Linked DNA regions of Diceros bicornis minor. The protein of the gene in region 2 purifies or fractionates together with the protein of the main gene of each other region. This does not show direct contact. Links are inferred from orthologs where the notes say so. Each region holds a gene or a part of one and is shown on either strand. Other genes may lie near its edges.

Region 1 (7,353 bases), on a different chromosome or scaffold from region 2:
GATGATTGAAATGAGTCTGTCCTTGTGCTATTCAATCCCTTCCCCTTGCTTCCTTCTCTCCCTGCAGCTTTCTTAGGAGAGGTTGCCAGGGACTCCTGAAGCAGGATTGTCTCAGCAGAAGGTGTCCATTCAAGAGCCCCAGAGCTCAGTCCAGCGCCCCTCATTTCAGAAGGGAGAGTGCCTTGCTCAAGGTTATCAAAGGCAAAACCAGACCAGAAACCAAACCCCCTGCTCCCATCCCAGGGCATTACACTGGGTCATTGGGAGCCTGAAGCACTGGTCTGCCCTGCTCTGGGGAGAGCCTGGGGTGTGTACCAGAGTCGCGTGGAGAATGGGGATCACTCTCATTGTTTTCTGTGTGGAGTGTCGTCTCTGCTCCCCTGAAGATGGTCCTCTCTGGGTACAACTCGACTTCATCCACAACTATTTGCCACTGACTAGGGGGACAGAATGGGCTCCAGGAGAGATTCAGGGGTATCCTCAGAATGCCCTCCTTGATTCATAATTAATGATACCACTACTGAAGACTGGCTGTGTGCCCCATCCTCAATGCATCCTCCCAACAAATTTACGGGTTAGCTGCTAGTGTCAGTGCCATTTTTCAGCTGTGGAAACTTAAGTGCAGAGAGTGAAATGACTTATCCAAGGTGACGCATTCGCTACGTGCTGAATCCAGAACCAAAGAGCCAGCTTCCACACTTCAGAGCCCACTTCAGAGCCCTGCTTCCCTGAGGTTCCCGAGTCACATTTCGGAGATTCTTAAATTAGTAATCCCCACATTCAAACTGACATTATAGAAGGTTTTGGCTTTGGAAAGTAGGACAGAGAGGAAGAAAATCCACCCCACTCCCTTTCTGAGGTGAAGAAGTGGGTTGAGCCAGGAGGACAGGGCTGCCAGTACCCTGCTGCTTCCTGGAATGATCTTACCTGGTGTTTAACCCCCTCCGTTGCTCTGTGAGCAAACAGGATCTTGGGGTTTGAAGAAGAGTAATGGGGGTGGAGGCAGGAGTGGAAAGGGACTGTTCCCTGGACCAAGAAACTGCTAAAATCTTTAAATATCTCTTGAACTTTTTTTTTTCTTTTGGCTCCCTGCAATGTTTTGGTGTTTAGATTCGGTTGCCACGAGGGGGGCTGTTTTTAGCTGCCTAGTTCCTTCCCCTCCCCTTTTAACTTCTTTCCCTTCCTTTTGCACATGCCCCAGCACGAAGTTTCCAATTCTTATCTCACTCAGCAAAATATACCAAGGCTGGTCTCAATGTGGATTCCCCAGGCGGTTCTCCAGTGTGAAACCTCAGCAATATTCAAGTCTCTGCTTAACCCTCTTTCATTGAGGATTAACCCCTGAAATAACCCTAGCCAGGGCTTCCTTCTCAGGGGGGAGAGGCATTCTTTGCCTTTGTATGGAGAAGCATTTTGGTCTGGGGAACTTTTCCTGCCTCTCCTCTAGATGGTACAGAGTGTGCACATTGGACATTGGTGGCATTAACTAAAGTCAGGGTAAAATGAAGAGGCACAGGACTCAGATACTGATCACCCTGGTGGCACACACCTTGGGGATCTTCCCTTCCACTGCTCTTTCCTAGTCTCTCTCCAGGCATTTCACAGTTCTCCTGGGGGCTGGGGGCAGGGAGGCAGGCTGGAGTAGTTTTTGTTTTCCTTGGATAAGAGTTTCATTCACAAGGAGGTGGACTTACTTCTCTGTCAAGATTCTTATGCTTTTAGAGTTTCAGTGGGAAAGCAGGCAGAGAGTGTCAGGCTCTGACTTCGAAGAAGCGCTGACAGCATTTCTATCCAGGTGTGACTTGGAGATTCCAACTCAAGAATTTTATTAGAACGAAACAATGGGAGGCAGGATGGTAATAAAAATAAGCTGACCAGGGGTTGTGGACTTCGCTGTCTTGATTACCTTTCTCTTGCATTGTTTTGTGGAGGCTGTTCTGTTTGTTTACCCTATGCTCTAAATGGAATTTCCCCTTAAGGACAGGACTAAGCCTCCACGAATGTGGCTTGGATGTATTAATGGAATAATAGTTTAAAATGTAAACTGGTTCAAGATTTCTGTAGGCACTTCACAGAGGGGAAAAAAAGAAAAAAGCTTTCACGTGTTCTCCCCCATCTCCTTGTTTCATTTTATAATGGTGCAATTTATTCAAAGCTAGGAGATAAGTAGATATAATAGATAAGTAGAGAATCCCTAAAACTTTCATGTGAATTTGCAAAACACCCTTCCTTCTGGTCTCGCGGCGTTCTAGGGGTTGTGCCTACATGCCCGGGGTTTACCTGCCTGCGGGGTTTACCGCAGGAGGGCGGGGAATGGGGGTGCGGAGAGGTGTGAGGCGGTGTGGGCGTGGAGGCTGGAGGGTGGCGCCGGGAGAGCCGTTACCACGGCGAAAAGTAAAGCAAAAACAACCGTCTCACGCTTCCCGCGCGACGCTGCTGGAAACCTGGTCATGTCCAGGGCCACATCGCGGAGGATCCTGCGTGGAACCCCGAGGTTCCCAGACGAGCAGGAGGAGGGGGCACTTCCGAGGCCACCCTCCTCCTTGTCCTGGGCCCAAGGCTTGGACGGGTGGGGGGTATTCTAGGTGAGGCTGGGGCTTGGGGGAGAGGATCGCGGGTGTGGGGGACTCAGTTTGACCTGCAGCTCAGAGGGTCTCTGCCCCAGACTGCTGGGCAATCGGAAGGGCTGGGGAAAGGGACAGGGATTTCCCGCGGGTGCGGGACTGTGTATTTAAGGCGGAGGGGGCGGCAGGTGCGGTGGGGTGCGACTGTGGACTAGACCCGGACTCCGAGACCCTTCTGGCTCTTACCCCAAATTGCCAAACTATGACCGTCAACCGCCTCTCTCCCAAGAGGCAGGTAGAAGAAGGTGTTTCTGCCCCCGGCCGTGCCCCCACACCCCGCGGGCGCGCGCGGGTCACCCGCCCAGGCAGGTTCGAAACGTCGCAGGCTACACTCGCGTCCATGGGTGTCCCTGGGCAGTTGAGAAGGTCCCTGGTTCTGCCGCTTTCGAAGCCGAGACAATTGGAGTCGGAGAATCGGAATGGGGAAATCGATTTTTAAGGTTCAAATCCAGTTCTGCTGAAGCCTTGGCTCGAAGCTGGGGCCATCGGACCTCGCCTTTCCCGCCACCCGGGCTCGAGGGCGGAAGGGATTTCTGCTACCCGGCCTCATTTCGGCTGCGGTCAGTGCGCCCCGAGTCCGGGCTGTCCTGTCGCAGCCCAATCCGCTCTGGGCGCAGAAAAACGTGTGAAAGCCGAAGATGGGTTTTCCCTAAATCTTGCCTGAGATCGAGGTCACCCTTGCCCCGCCCGGCCCGCGGAGACCGAAGCACCTTCTCTTTGCTCTCTCCCTGGCCGCTCGGCTTCAGCCCCACTCTTATCCCCTCTGATTCGCCTCTGATCTCTCCAGGTCTCTGGTCTTTCGATGGTCTTGTTCGTTTCACTGAGAATCTCCCTCTCAAACACTTTGTGGTTGTTAAAAAATCCTAATCCACACCGTCCTACTACTCGCCCTCGCCCCAGAGGCGGGTTCCCAAACGGTCCGGAGGCGGTTCCGCGTGTGCGCTCGTGTCGGCTGTGCCGGAGCTGCGGGCGCACGGTGCCCGCCCAGCGCTGCCCTCCGCGACTGGGTTAACCGGCAGCCTCCTCGCGGTCTCTGCCGCGGAGGTCACCCCCGGCGGGTAACGGTGTGGAGTCCCGGTAGGGTGCCTTTGGGCACCTCTCCCACACCGGAGACCAACGCTTCTGCCCCTACCCCGCCCCTTACTTGAGAAGGGGGTGTTTAGCGTGGGGAGGAGATATTTTCTTGAAGCTCTAGAAAATGACCACGCATTTTAGAAAAAGGTCGTGCCCGTTTCCCAGCCTCACCTAGTCTGGGCTGCGGCCAAGACCCACCCCTCCATCTTCCCCCCCAAACCTAGCGGAGGGAGAGATGCCAGCGCGGTGGAGTCATGCCGCTGGCTTGGGCACCATTGGCTCATGCCTGGAACACGCAGCGGGGAGTACGCACATCTGGCGGCCAGCCCGAGCGGCTCCGGTCCTGATATGGAGAGAGAGGGCGGGCGGGTGTGTGTCCCAGCGTGCGAAGCCGGGAGAACGCGCCCCGGCCGGCTCCTCCCCAAGCTTGCATCACCAGTCCCCGCTTTGGCCCCTCCTTCCCCCGCCCCTCCCTTTGCCCAGCCTAGTTCGGCTGGTTCTCTGGGGAAGCTATTAATAGCATTACGTCAGCCTGGGTCTGGTAACCCAGAGTAAACGGGCGTGTCGCCAGCCTGAGAGCTATAAAAGGGGTGATGCAACGCGCTCCAAGCCACAGTCGCACGCAGCTAGACGCGCGCTGCGGAGCGCTGTCCCGGCGCAGCAGTCCCAGCCGACCCACCAGCCCGCGCGCCGGCCGTGCGTCCTCGGTGTTCGCCCGCCGGCCCCACAGACAGACAGACAGCCCGACCCCGCCCTGACCCCGCCCGCCCTCTGGACCCTGGCCGCCCGGAGGGGAGACAGGAGGTGAGCGCTGGAAGACGAGTGAGTGAGCGCTGCGAGGGTGGCTCGCTTTCATTCCCTTTGCGACCCTCTAATAACCAGTCCCCCGATCCCTGCGCCCACCCCCGACCCGCACGCCCAGGCTCCAGCTTCGAAAGAACTCTGGCTGAACTTCTCCCAGACACGGCTGCTCCTCAGCACTTGGGAAAGTTTCTCGCAAAGAACTTTCTCTTTTGACATGGGGCGCGAAAGGTTTCTGGTGAACAGAGAGGTCGGGCTTCCGCTCCTCTCCGCCCTCGGCACTTACTTACCCCACTAGGAGCGGGTGTGGGGAAGTGGGTGCGCGGGGGTGTCTGAGACTGTCCGGCTCGCCATCCGGCTCCATCCCTCGCTTCGTGTCCGGGCACTGCCACTCCCGAGCCCAGCCTTCCGGAGGTCCGCAGAGAGGTGCGGAGGCCGGGTGCTCGCGGAAGGGCTGTGCTAGGAACCGAACGGAATGAATGGGGAAGGGACGGGCGAGCCGGGGGCGCGGGCGCGGCCGCTGGGGGTCGCCCTGCGCATCGCGGAGCGCTGGCTCAGGACCGCTCAGGGAGCCCGGAGCGAAAGTTAGTTGGGATAAGTTTAGAGGTGGCAAGCACTCATGTCGCTGTCCTGGGGCAGAAGGCGGAGAGGGCTCCCGGCACAAGCTGATGTTGGGCTTCTGGGCCGGAGGCTTCCTGTCCCAAGTCCCTCACACGCTTTTCCCTCATACCTGTGACTCTCGCTCTGGCTCTCTCTCTGGTGGGTTCTCGGATTTCTTTGCTTTGCGTCCGTGGAGACCCACCGTGGGGGGAAGCCAGGGTGCAAAGCCAGTTCAGATAATTGGGAGAACGGCTTTGTGGTCTAGTGGCCAGGCCCTGAGAGCTTATACTACACTTGATGTCCTTGAGCCTCAGTATCCCCAGCTGGGAGATGTGGGCACATAGGCACTACTGGCCTTCTTTGCTTGTTTGCGAGCACCAGGGGGTGTTTGGACTGGATAACCAGTAAAGTCCTTTCTGGCTAAAGATTTTCAGATTCTAGAGTGGTGTAATTGAAACAAAAGGGGCCGGTGAGGGGACTTGAATGACTTGAATGAGGAGGGTCGCTATCTAATGTCACCGACCAGCTTCTGAGGCAGTGGGGGAAAGGGGCCTTCTCTGTGGGGCATCTCTTCCTTTCCCAACTTTCTTCCCATTGGATTGGTTCTCATTCTCTGCTGCCCCACACCCCATTTTCATTTCATCTACTTACTTCCTTTCCTCCTAACCATTTTCTTTTCCCTAATTTTGTTACCTACTTCTCATATGCTCCCTTACAAATAGAGGAGTTGCTAAATCCTTGATGAAGCCAGAAAAAAAAATTGGGGATGCTAGAAAATCTGGGTGCTCTCCAAAGTGTGGGTGACAGTCACATCTATTTGGGGCCTCTGTCTCCCCAACTGTAAACGAAGGGGAAATTGGTATTACTGTCCCCCTTGTTCTGTGTTTAGCATTTGTTGTAGAATAATGCTACAACATATAGGCTCTTGCTTTGAAGATATCCTGGACAAAGCCTGGGGTGGTGGTGGGTTTTGCAGTTGTTAATGTCTGCACAGTTGCAGAGACAGCATGGCAGGTGGCAATCCAGGCCCATACTGTGCATAAGATACAGACAGCACCCAGCACCTCTGGCAGCTATTGGAGCCTTCTGAGCCTTCTTGCCTTAACCCCACCCTTCTCTCTCTCCCTCTTGGCCCTTCCTCTCCATTGTTCTCTTTCTTCTATACTCTGTCCCTGTCTTAGTCCTGTCAAAGCCTCCTCTGTAGTGGGTACCAGGTTACAGGACTATGAGGGGTAGATGACCCCTCATCTACCTTTGCCGTATTGGTTGATCCTCATAGTGTTGGATCTCTTTTGGTGATGGAGCAAAATGAGCAGCGGGTGGGTGGTCAACAGCTTGGCCTGGGCTGGGGCACTCACCAGCTTTATGGCCTTGGGCAAGTCACTTTACCTTCCTGGACCTCACTTTACTCAATTACAAAATGAAGATCTGACCTAGATGACTCCAATACTGGGTGTTCTATCCCATTGTATAGAGCCCATGATTTCTTGCTTTTTCGAATTGTCTGGGTGTGGAACAGGGTCAGTGGTCCCAAGTGTTACCCAGGCTAGGGAAGAGGAAGTACATAGCCAGGATACCACAGAAACCAGAAATGGTTTCATGTGTGAGAACTGGTTATTTCTTAAGTATGTAAGACCAGTGGAGGCAAGCTGGTGCCAGGAAATAGTGGGGTGGAATTGACCTGGTGTGTCAGGAGCCCAGAAGTCAATCAAAGTACAAAAGAAGCTGTGAGTGACCTAAATTTCTTGAGGGTTCAAGTTAATTCCCAATTAACGGGCTAACTGACATTGACAACGATATTATGAGTTTCCCCTGAAATGGAGAAAGTGGGATCGCAGTAATAATGGCTACCAGTATGTGTGTAAATCCACCATCATGAATCTTATACGATCTTCCTGACAGCCCCATGAGGGAATTGGAGCAGGCAGTATTGGTCTCATTTTACAGACAGGAGACTGAGGCCCAGAAAGCGTGAGTGACTTGTCAATGGGTGCTCAGCATGTGAGTGGTAGTGATAGGGCTGGAAGCATCGTCTCTAGTCCTGAAGTCTGGACACCTACACACCTACAGCCTTCAAGTAGGCTGGGAGAAAGACCAAGATACGAAGTTATGAAAGACCAACATTGGCTTCCTACTGTAAGATGTTTTATGAGCAGTGCTTACTGGAAAGAGATGAAAATTAAAAGTGAAAATTCAACGTTGTTGTAGCTGCTAGGAAATAAAATCTGGGAGCTGAATTTCCAGTTACAGAAAT
Region 2 (6,408 bases):
GTTCCTGGGGGAGGACCTCCATGATTTTCGGCCTCTTCCTGCCCAGCTGCGTGTCCACACCCAGGGGCAGGGACTCCGGAGGCTGGGTGCTATGACTTGTGGGTTCTCGCCCTGGCCTGCCCACTGGCTGACTCACCGGCAGCCCCCGGCCCAGTTTCCTGGTGAGGGCCCCACCGGTCAGTAGGGCCACGGGGGAGGGGGTCACTAGGCTATTTATAAGAAGGAGAAGTCCCTCATGCCAGGGCCAAAAGCCCCAGAGAGACCCGTGGGTGGGGGTGGGTGAACTTCCTCCTTATCCCGCTCCCCCCCAGCGCTAGGCCCCTGGGAGGGGGAAGCCTGGGCACAGACTTCCCAGCCAGATGCTGGTCTGAAGCCCAGGGCCTGGGCAGTACCCAGCTGCCAGTCTGGGCACCCCAGCCAGGTGGGGGAGGGGGCTATCCTCACACTCTCCTCACTTTGGCCTTGGCGCCACTGGGGCGGCGTGAGGGGGTGGTGCCCAGGCCACAAAGGTGAGACTGGCAGGGCCTGGAACCGGCTGTACCAGCTTGGCTGGGCCCCCGCCCTCTCGCACTGGCCCAATCCCCACTCCTTGCTCAGACACCCATGCAGAGCGCATGCAGCTACCCGACCCCACTGCAACACGCCGGCCGGCGCCCACACACACCAGCACCCCTCTGCCCTGTGCCCAACCCCATCTCTCTTCCCATGAGAGAAGACCCTTCGTGAAAGAGCCTGCAGAGCTTGGCATACAGCTGGTGCCGCATAAACGCCTCTCTGGTTGTGATTATCCACAGGACAGTGGCTAATGCTCTGCAGCCAGACCGCTGGGGTTATGTTCCAACTCCAGCACTTACAGCTCTGGGACATCAGGCAATTCCTTACCTTCCTGTACCTCAGTTTTCACGTCTGTTAAATGGGGATAGAAACAGCATGCATTTCGCTGGGTTGTTAGAAGCAGGCAATGAGTTACTCAAATCACTTAGAAGAATGCCAGGCCCATGGTAAGAGCCATATAAGTGTTAGCTATTAAAATAATAACTATTATTTCTCAGTCTGTCGACCTATCTTAAGTGTCTCTGAGTTTTGCTGTCTGTCTGCATGACGCTAACCCTACCCCGGTTTGTCTCTCTGGGCGTCTCTGCCTGTGCTGACCCCCGCCCCCACACAACTGCTTGTCCTCGCTCAGTCCTTGCCCTCCATCTCCATCCTCTCCTGGCCAGCCTCGCCTCTCTCCAGGACCCCCCTGGCATGGCCAGCCTCAGCACTGGCCAGGGCTGACTTGCTGTGGCCTCCTGGCCCGTGGGACCTGCAGGCTGGCTTCCCAAGGTGCTGCCCTCCCGCCAGACCTGCCCAGCCCCCCAACGCTGCCCGCTGCGCCCCCGCAGGGCCCAGCCAGATGTCAGCTGCAGCTATTAGCATGGGCGGGAGACACAGGCCTGGCAGCGTGCCCGCCAGACTCAGCGGCCACTGGAATCTCCCTTGAGCCTGGGGCGGGGGAGGGGAGCTGTTCAAGCAAGGGGAGGAGGCCGAGGGGGCACCCAGGGGTCACAAGGACCCTCCAGAGACGGGAGGCCCCCAGCTTCTCCTGGGATCTTCCTCCCCAACACCACTGCTCTGCTGGACTTCCCCCTGCCCCCACATAGCTCAGTTTCTTTTTCGCCTCTTTCGTTTTCCTTCTCTCCCCCACACTTGCTGAGCTCTGTGCTTGCCCTGCAAAGACTGGCTAGCCCCTGTCCCTCAGCCCCTCTCTACCCTAAAGAAACTTCCATCTTCCCAGAAAATAGAGGCCTCTCTCTGAGAGAAAAAGAGAGAAAGAGAGAGAGAGAGATGGAGCTTCTCACCTCTTGTTCTAGAGGCTCACATCCTAACTGCTTGGAAGTCTCACCTTAAGTCTAACTAGAAACCTCGTCATCTAAACCTCCACTCAGTCCCAGGGAAGGAGCTCTGGAGGGGTTCCCTCAGATCTCGCCACGGATTCTCAGGTCCCCTCTGTTTGGAGGAGAGGGGAACCCCCTAGGTATTCTGGATGGTTGACAAGACCCTCAGACTAAAACAGGAGTAGGGCCCCTCACCCACATGAGTGAGAGGGGGCACACCAGCTCCCAGGGGTGTTTGTGGGGAGGGGCCACAGACCTCACGGCAGAAAGGAAGGGCACCCCGCCCGAGGGAGGAGGCAGCCGTGCCAGCCCGCCCAGGCGCCGGGGGAGCCTCCAGGCATTGGCCCGCCCCCTCCGCGCCCCGTCGGGCCAGGGGCGAAGTCCGACCCAGGCCCGCGGGCAGGCGGGGACCTGCCGGGCTGGGTCGGGCCGGGCCGGGCCAAGGCTGGCAGGACGCGGCCCCAGAGCGGCTGGGTGGGGCCGGGCCAGGCGGCCGTGGGGGCCCTGGGGGCGGCGGCCAGGGCTGGTCGGGACTAGCCGTCCGGGGGCCCGGGCGCGCCCGGGAACCTGGCAGATACCCGGACTCCCGGCTCCTGGCTCGGGGCCCCGGGACAGCGCTGGCCCCACCCCTTCCTGTGCCCTTATATGGGCGTCGGGAGAGACTCCGGGGGCCGCCCCGCCCCCAGCCCTGCCCGCGGACTCCGGCCTGTTGCCATGGCTACCAGGCCCTGCTCCCCGGTGCGTCCCCCTCTGTCGGGTCAATGGAATCGTCCCGGGCCTGCCTGCCTCCGCGATCGCTTGCGAGCCCCCGCGGGCTGAACCATTGCTGGAGGGGGGGGATGTGACTGGGGGCCTCTGCAGCTGGGCGGGTTCCGCGCACGCTGGCCTCCGGAGGGGTCGCACGCCCAGGTTCCTCTTCCGAGGCGCACAACCCAGCCGGACCCAGGGCGGGGCGCACGGTCCCGTAGGATCCGAGTGACGGAGGCAGGGCCGGGCTCCTTCCCCGGGGGCTGTTGCCACACTTCCTGCTGCGGCGCTCTTTCCCCAGCCTGTTTCTAAGGAAGGAGTGGGGTTGGGCGACCGCGCCCCGGCGGTCAGGCTGGGTCCAGGCACCAGGAGCCGGCACGGTGTCGGTCAAGCCCAGGGTCACTGGGGGAGGTCTTTGGGATGGGGACAGAGTATACAGGCGCCTAGAGGTCACCCACGAGAGGGGGCGCCAATCATGGAAGATCCAGCAGTACAGGTCCCCAGGATCCTCAAAGACCCCTCCTCTCATGTCTCAGCCGGGGACCCTCTGTCATTGTCATCTCAGTTCTGAAGGTGTGCCCCGATCCCTCTAATTCTCTTTCATCAGGGCTTTGTAGATAACCCCAGTGACCCCCAATCTCTGACAGTCTCCATCTTCTACCCCACATATTTTCCCTTACTCACTGTACCCCAGAACCCTCACTTTCTGCATATCTAGATACCCCCAATTCCTTCCCCTTCCCACTTGTGGGGGCCCCTCAGTCTCTCCCATGGACTCCAGGACCCCTACTCGTTTTTTGCATGATGGGTCCTCCGGCTCCTCCCCGTCTACCCTTTTGATCTCTCCCCCTCCTCATTTTTCCTGGGTTCAGCCCCTCTCGTGAAAATTCCAGTCCCCCAACCTCTCTGTACCCAGGACCCCCGTCATTCCTGAGTCAGGCGTATTTTTACCCCTCCCCCATCTACTCTACTTAACCCTCCCGTCTCTTCTTTGTGGGGTCTCCGGTGTATTCTCAGTCCTCCAACCCCTTTCGGATACTCTGGGTCCCTCAGGCCTCTCCATGGACATCCTGGGATTGGGACCCCCCCCCCCCCCGCGCGCACACACTTGCTCTGTATCAGTTCCTCGTATCCCTTATCGCGTACTTCAGGGGGATCATGCCCTTCCTGGAGCCCCTCCCCGACTGCCCTAGCAGCCCCTTCCTCGCGCACCCTGGGGTCCCCTGAGCCCCTCCCCCTGCAGCCGCGCCGAGCCACCCAGCCCGTGGCCGCTGTTTACAAGGACACGCGCTTCCTGACAGTGACGCGAGCCGCCTCCTCCCCTTCCCCACGCTCAAGGGGGGGGGCGCGGGGGCCCGGCTCCAGCAACGGCCAATCGGGGCGCACTTCCGCAGCTGACTATCGCGGTATAAAGGCGTGTGACTCCGACTGAGCGGCTGGGACCTTGAGCGCGGCCAGGCCAGCGTCGGAGCCAGCGGGGAGCGGGGAGCAGGGGGAAGCGACACCAAGAAAGCGGGCGCGCCAGAGAGGGGCAGAGGAGCTCGAGAAGCCGCACAGAGCTTCCGCGCACAGCCGCCGGCTGGCGTCTCCCGGCCTGTTCCAGCCCCTAGGAACGCGCGTCCAGACGCCCAGTCCAGCCACCGCCGCGGACAGCGAGCCGCTCGCTGCAGCGAGGCCCGGGGCGGCCCCGCAGGGACCCCGCCAGACCGCCCGGGCCGCCCGGATGTGCACTAAAATGGAACAGCCCTTCTACCACGACGACTCATACGCAGCGGCGGGATACGGCCGGGCCCCGGGCGGCCTCTCTCTACACGACTACAAACTCCTGAAACCCAGCCTGGCGCTCAACCTGGCCGACCCCTACCGAGGTCTCAAAGCTCCCGGGGCGCGGGGCCCCGGCCCAGAGGGCAGCGGTGGCAGCAGCTACTTTCCCAGCCAGGGCTCGGACACAGGCGCGTCACTCAAGCTCGCCTCATCGGAGCTGGAGCGCCTGATCGTCCCCAACAGCAACGGCGTGATCACGACGACGCCCACGCCCCCGGGACAGTACTTTTACCCCCGCGGGGGTGGCAGCGGTGGAGGTGCGGGGGGCGCGGGAGGCGGCGTCACCGAGGAGCAGGAAGGTTTCGCCGACGGCTTTGTCAAAGCCCTGGACGACCTGCACAAGATGAACCACGTGACGCCCCCCAACGTGTCCCTGGGCACCAGCGGGGGGCCCCCGGCCGGGCCCGGGGGTGTCTACGCCGGCCCAGAGCCGCCTCCCGTCTACACCAACCTCAGCAGCTATTCGCCAGCCTCAGCGCCCTCCGGAGGCGCCGGGGCCGCCGTCGGGACCGGGAGCTCGTACCCGACGGCCACCATCAGCTACCTCCCACACGCGCCGCCCTTCGCCGGCGGCCACCCGGCGCAGCTGGGCCTGGGCCGCGGCGCCTCCACCTTCAAGGAGGAACCGCAGACCGTGCCTGAGGCGCGCAGCCGCGACGCCACGCCGCCGGTGTCCCCCATCAACATGGAAGACCAGGAGCGCATCAAAGTGGAGCGCAAGCGGCTGCGGAACCGGCTGGCGGCCACCAAGTGCCGGAAGCGGAAGCTGGAGCGCATCGCGCGCCTGGAGGACAAGGTGAAGACACTCAAGGCCGAGAACGCGGGTCTGTCGAGCACTGCCGGCCTCCTCCGGGAGCAGGTGGCCCAGCTCAAACAGAAGGTCATGACCCATGTCAGCAACGGCTGCCAGCTGCTTCTTGGGGTCAAGGGACACGCCTTCTGAGCGCCCCCGTACAGACATTCCCCCAGCCTGGACGGCTGGGCGCACGCCTCCCACGGGGCGAGGGGGCAGGCGGTGGGCACCGGACCCGGAGCCTGGGGACGCCGCACACCACACTGGACTCCTGCCCGCACGCTCTGCGCTCAGTCCTTCCACCTCGACGTTTACAAGCCCCTCTTCCACATTTTTTTGTATGTTTTTTTCTGCTGGAAACAGACTAAGTCATATTGAATATAATATATTTGTGTATTTAACAGGGAGGGGAGGAGGGGGCGATCGCGGCGGAGCTGGCCCCGCCGCCCGGTACTCAAGCCCGCGGGAACACTGGGGAGGGGACCCCCGCCCCCTGCCCTCCCCCCTCTGCATCGTACTGTGGAGAAGAAACACACCCTTGGACTCTACAGAGTTTATTTTAATATGTGTTTGTGTGTGTGTGCGTGAGTTTGTCGTTCCCACTTTTTATTGAATCTATTTAAGTAAAAAAAAAAAATGGTTCTTTATTAATTTCTGTTGTCTTTTTTTCCAAGCCGGGCGGGCGGAGGGAGGAGAGTACTGGGCTGCCCCCACCCCACTGCTGTTTGTGGCTCGCTCCTGTATCCGGGTTCCCCTCGCCAGCTCTGCCCAGGCATCTTGCAGCTCCAGCTCGAGCGTCCAACCCTACTCGCGTCCGCTGATCTCTGGGGTTGGAAGGTCCAGGGCGGGGACGCGGTCCAGCCGCCCAGCACCAGGGGGCAGAGTGCCCCGGGCGAGGCGCGCAGTGCGCAGGTGCGGCCCCGCCCAGCCGCGCGCCGGGGCTTTCCCCGCTGACGCAGCGGAAGCGCTGCCCATATTTGGGCCGATTCTGCCCAGTGACGCGCCGGCGGTCTCCGGGCAGATTCCGGGAATCCCCTCCCCCGCTCTGCCCGGCAGGGCCGCGGAGCCGGGAAGGGGGCCGGGATTTTCCCAGGCAGGCGGCTGCCGGGACCCGGAAAGCCCCAGGCCTGGGTCCAGAGCGTGCGCGGTGGGCGGGCCGCGCTCCTG

Evidence for each region. Proteins that work in one complex are often made in the same cells at the same time.
Region 1: the proteins of JUNB (region 2) and ATF3 purify together in Homo sapiens (affinity purification with mass spectrometry; 3 studies listed by BioGRID and IntAct, counting the BioPlex papers as one, with this or other methods). This does not show direct contact. The link is inferred for Diceros bicornis minor from reciprocal best matches to the Homo sapiens genes JUNB and ATF3.

Annotation. Positions count from the first base shown.
Region 1 is NC_080743.1:78,227,263-78,234,615, forward strand, and holds the start of ATF3 (cyclic AMP-dependent transcription factor ATF-3), read left to right. Parts: upstream 1-4,340; 5' UTR 4,341-4,520; intron 4,521-7,353.
Region 2 is NC_080769.1:4,564,341-4,570,748, reverse strand, and holds JUNB (transcription factor JunB), read left to right. Parts: upstream 1-4,049; 5' UTR 4,050-4,347; coding exon 4,348-5,391; 3' UTR 5,392-5,892; downstream 5,893-6,408. UniProt on the Homo sapiens protein: Transcription factor involved in regulating gene activity following the primary growth factor response. Binds to the DNA sequence 5'-TGA[GC]TCA-3'.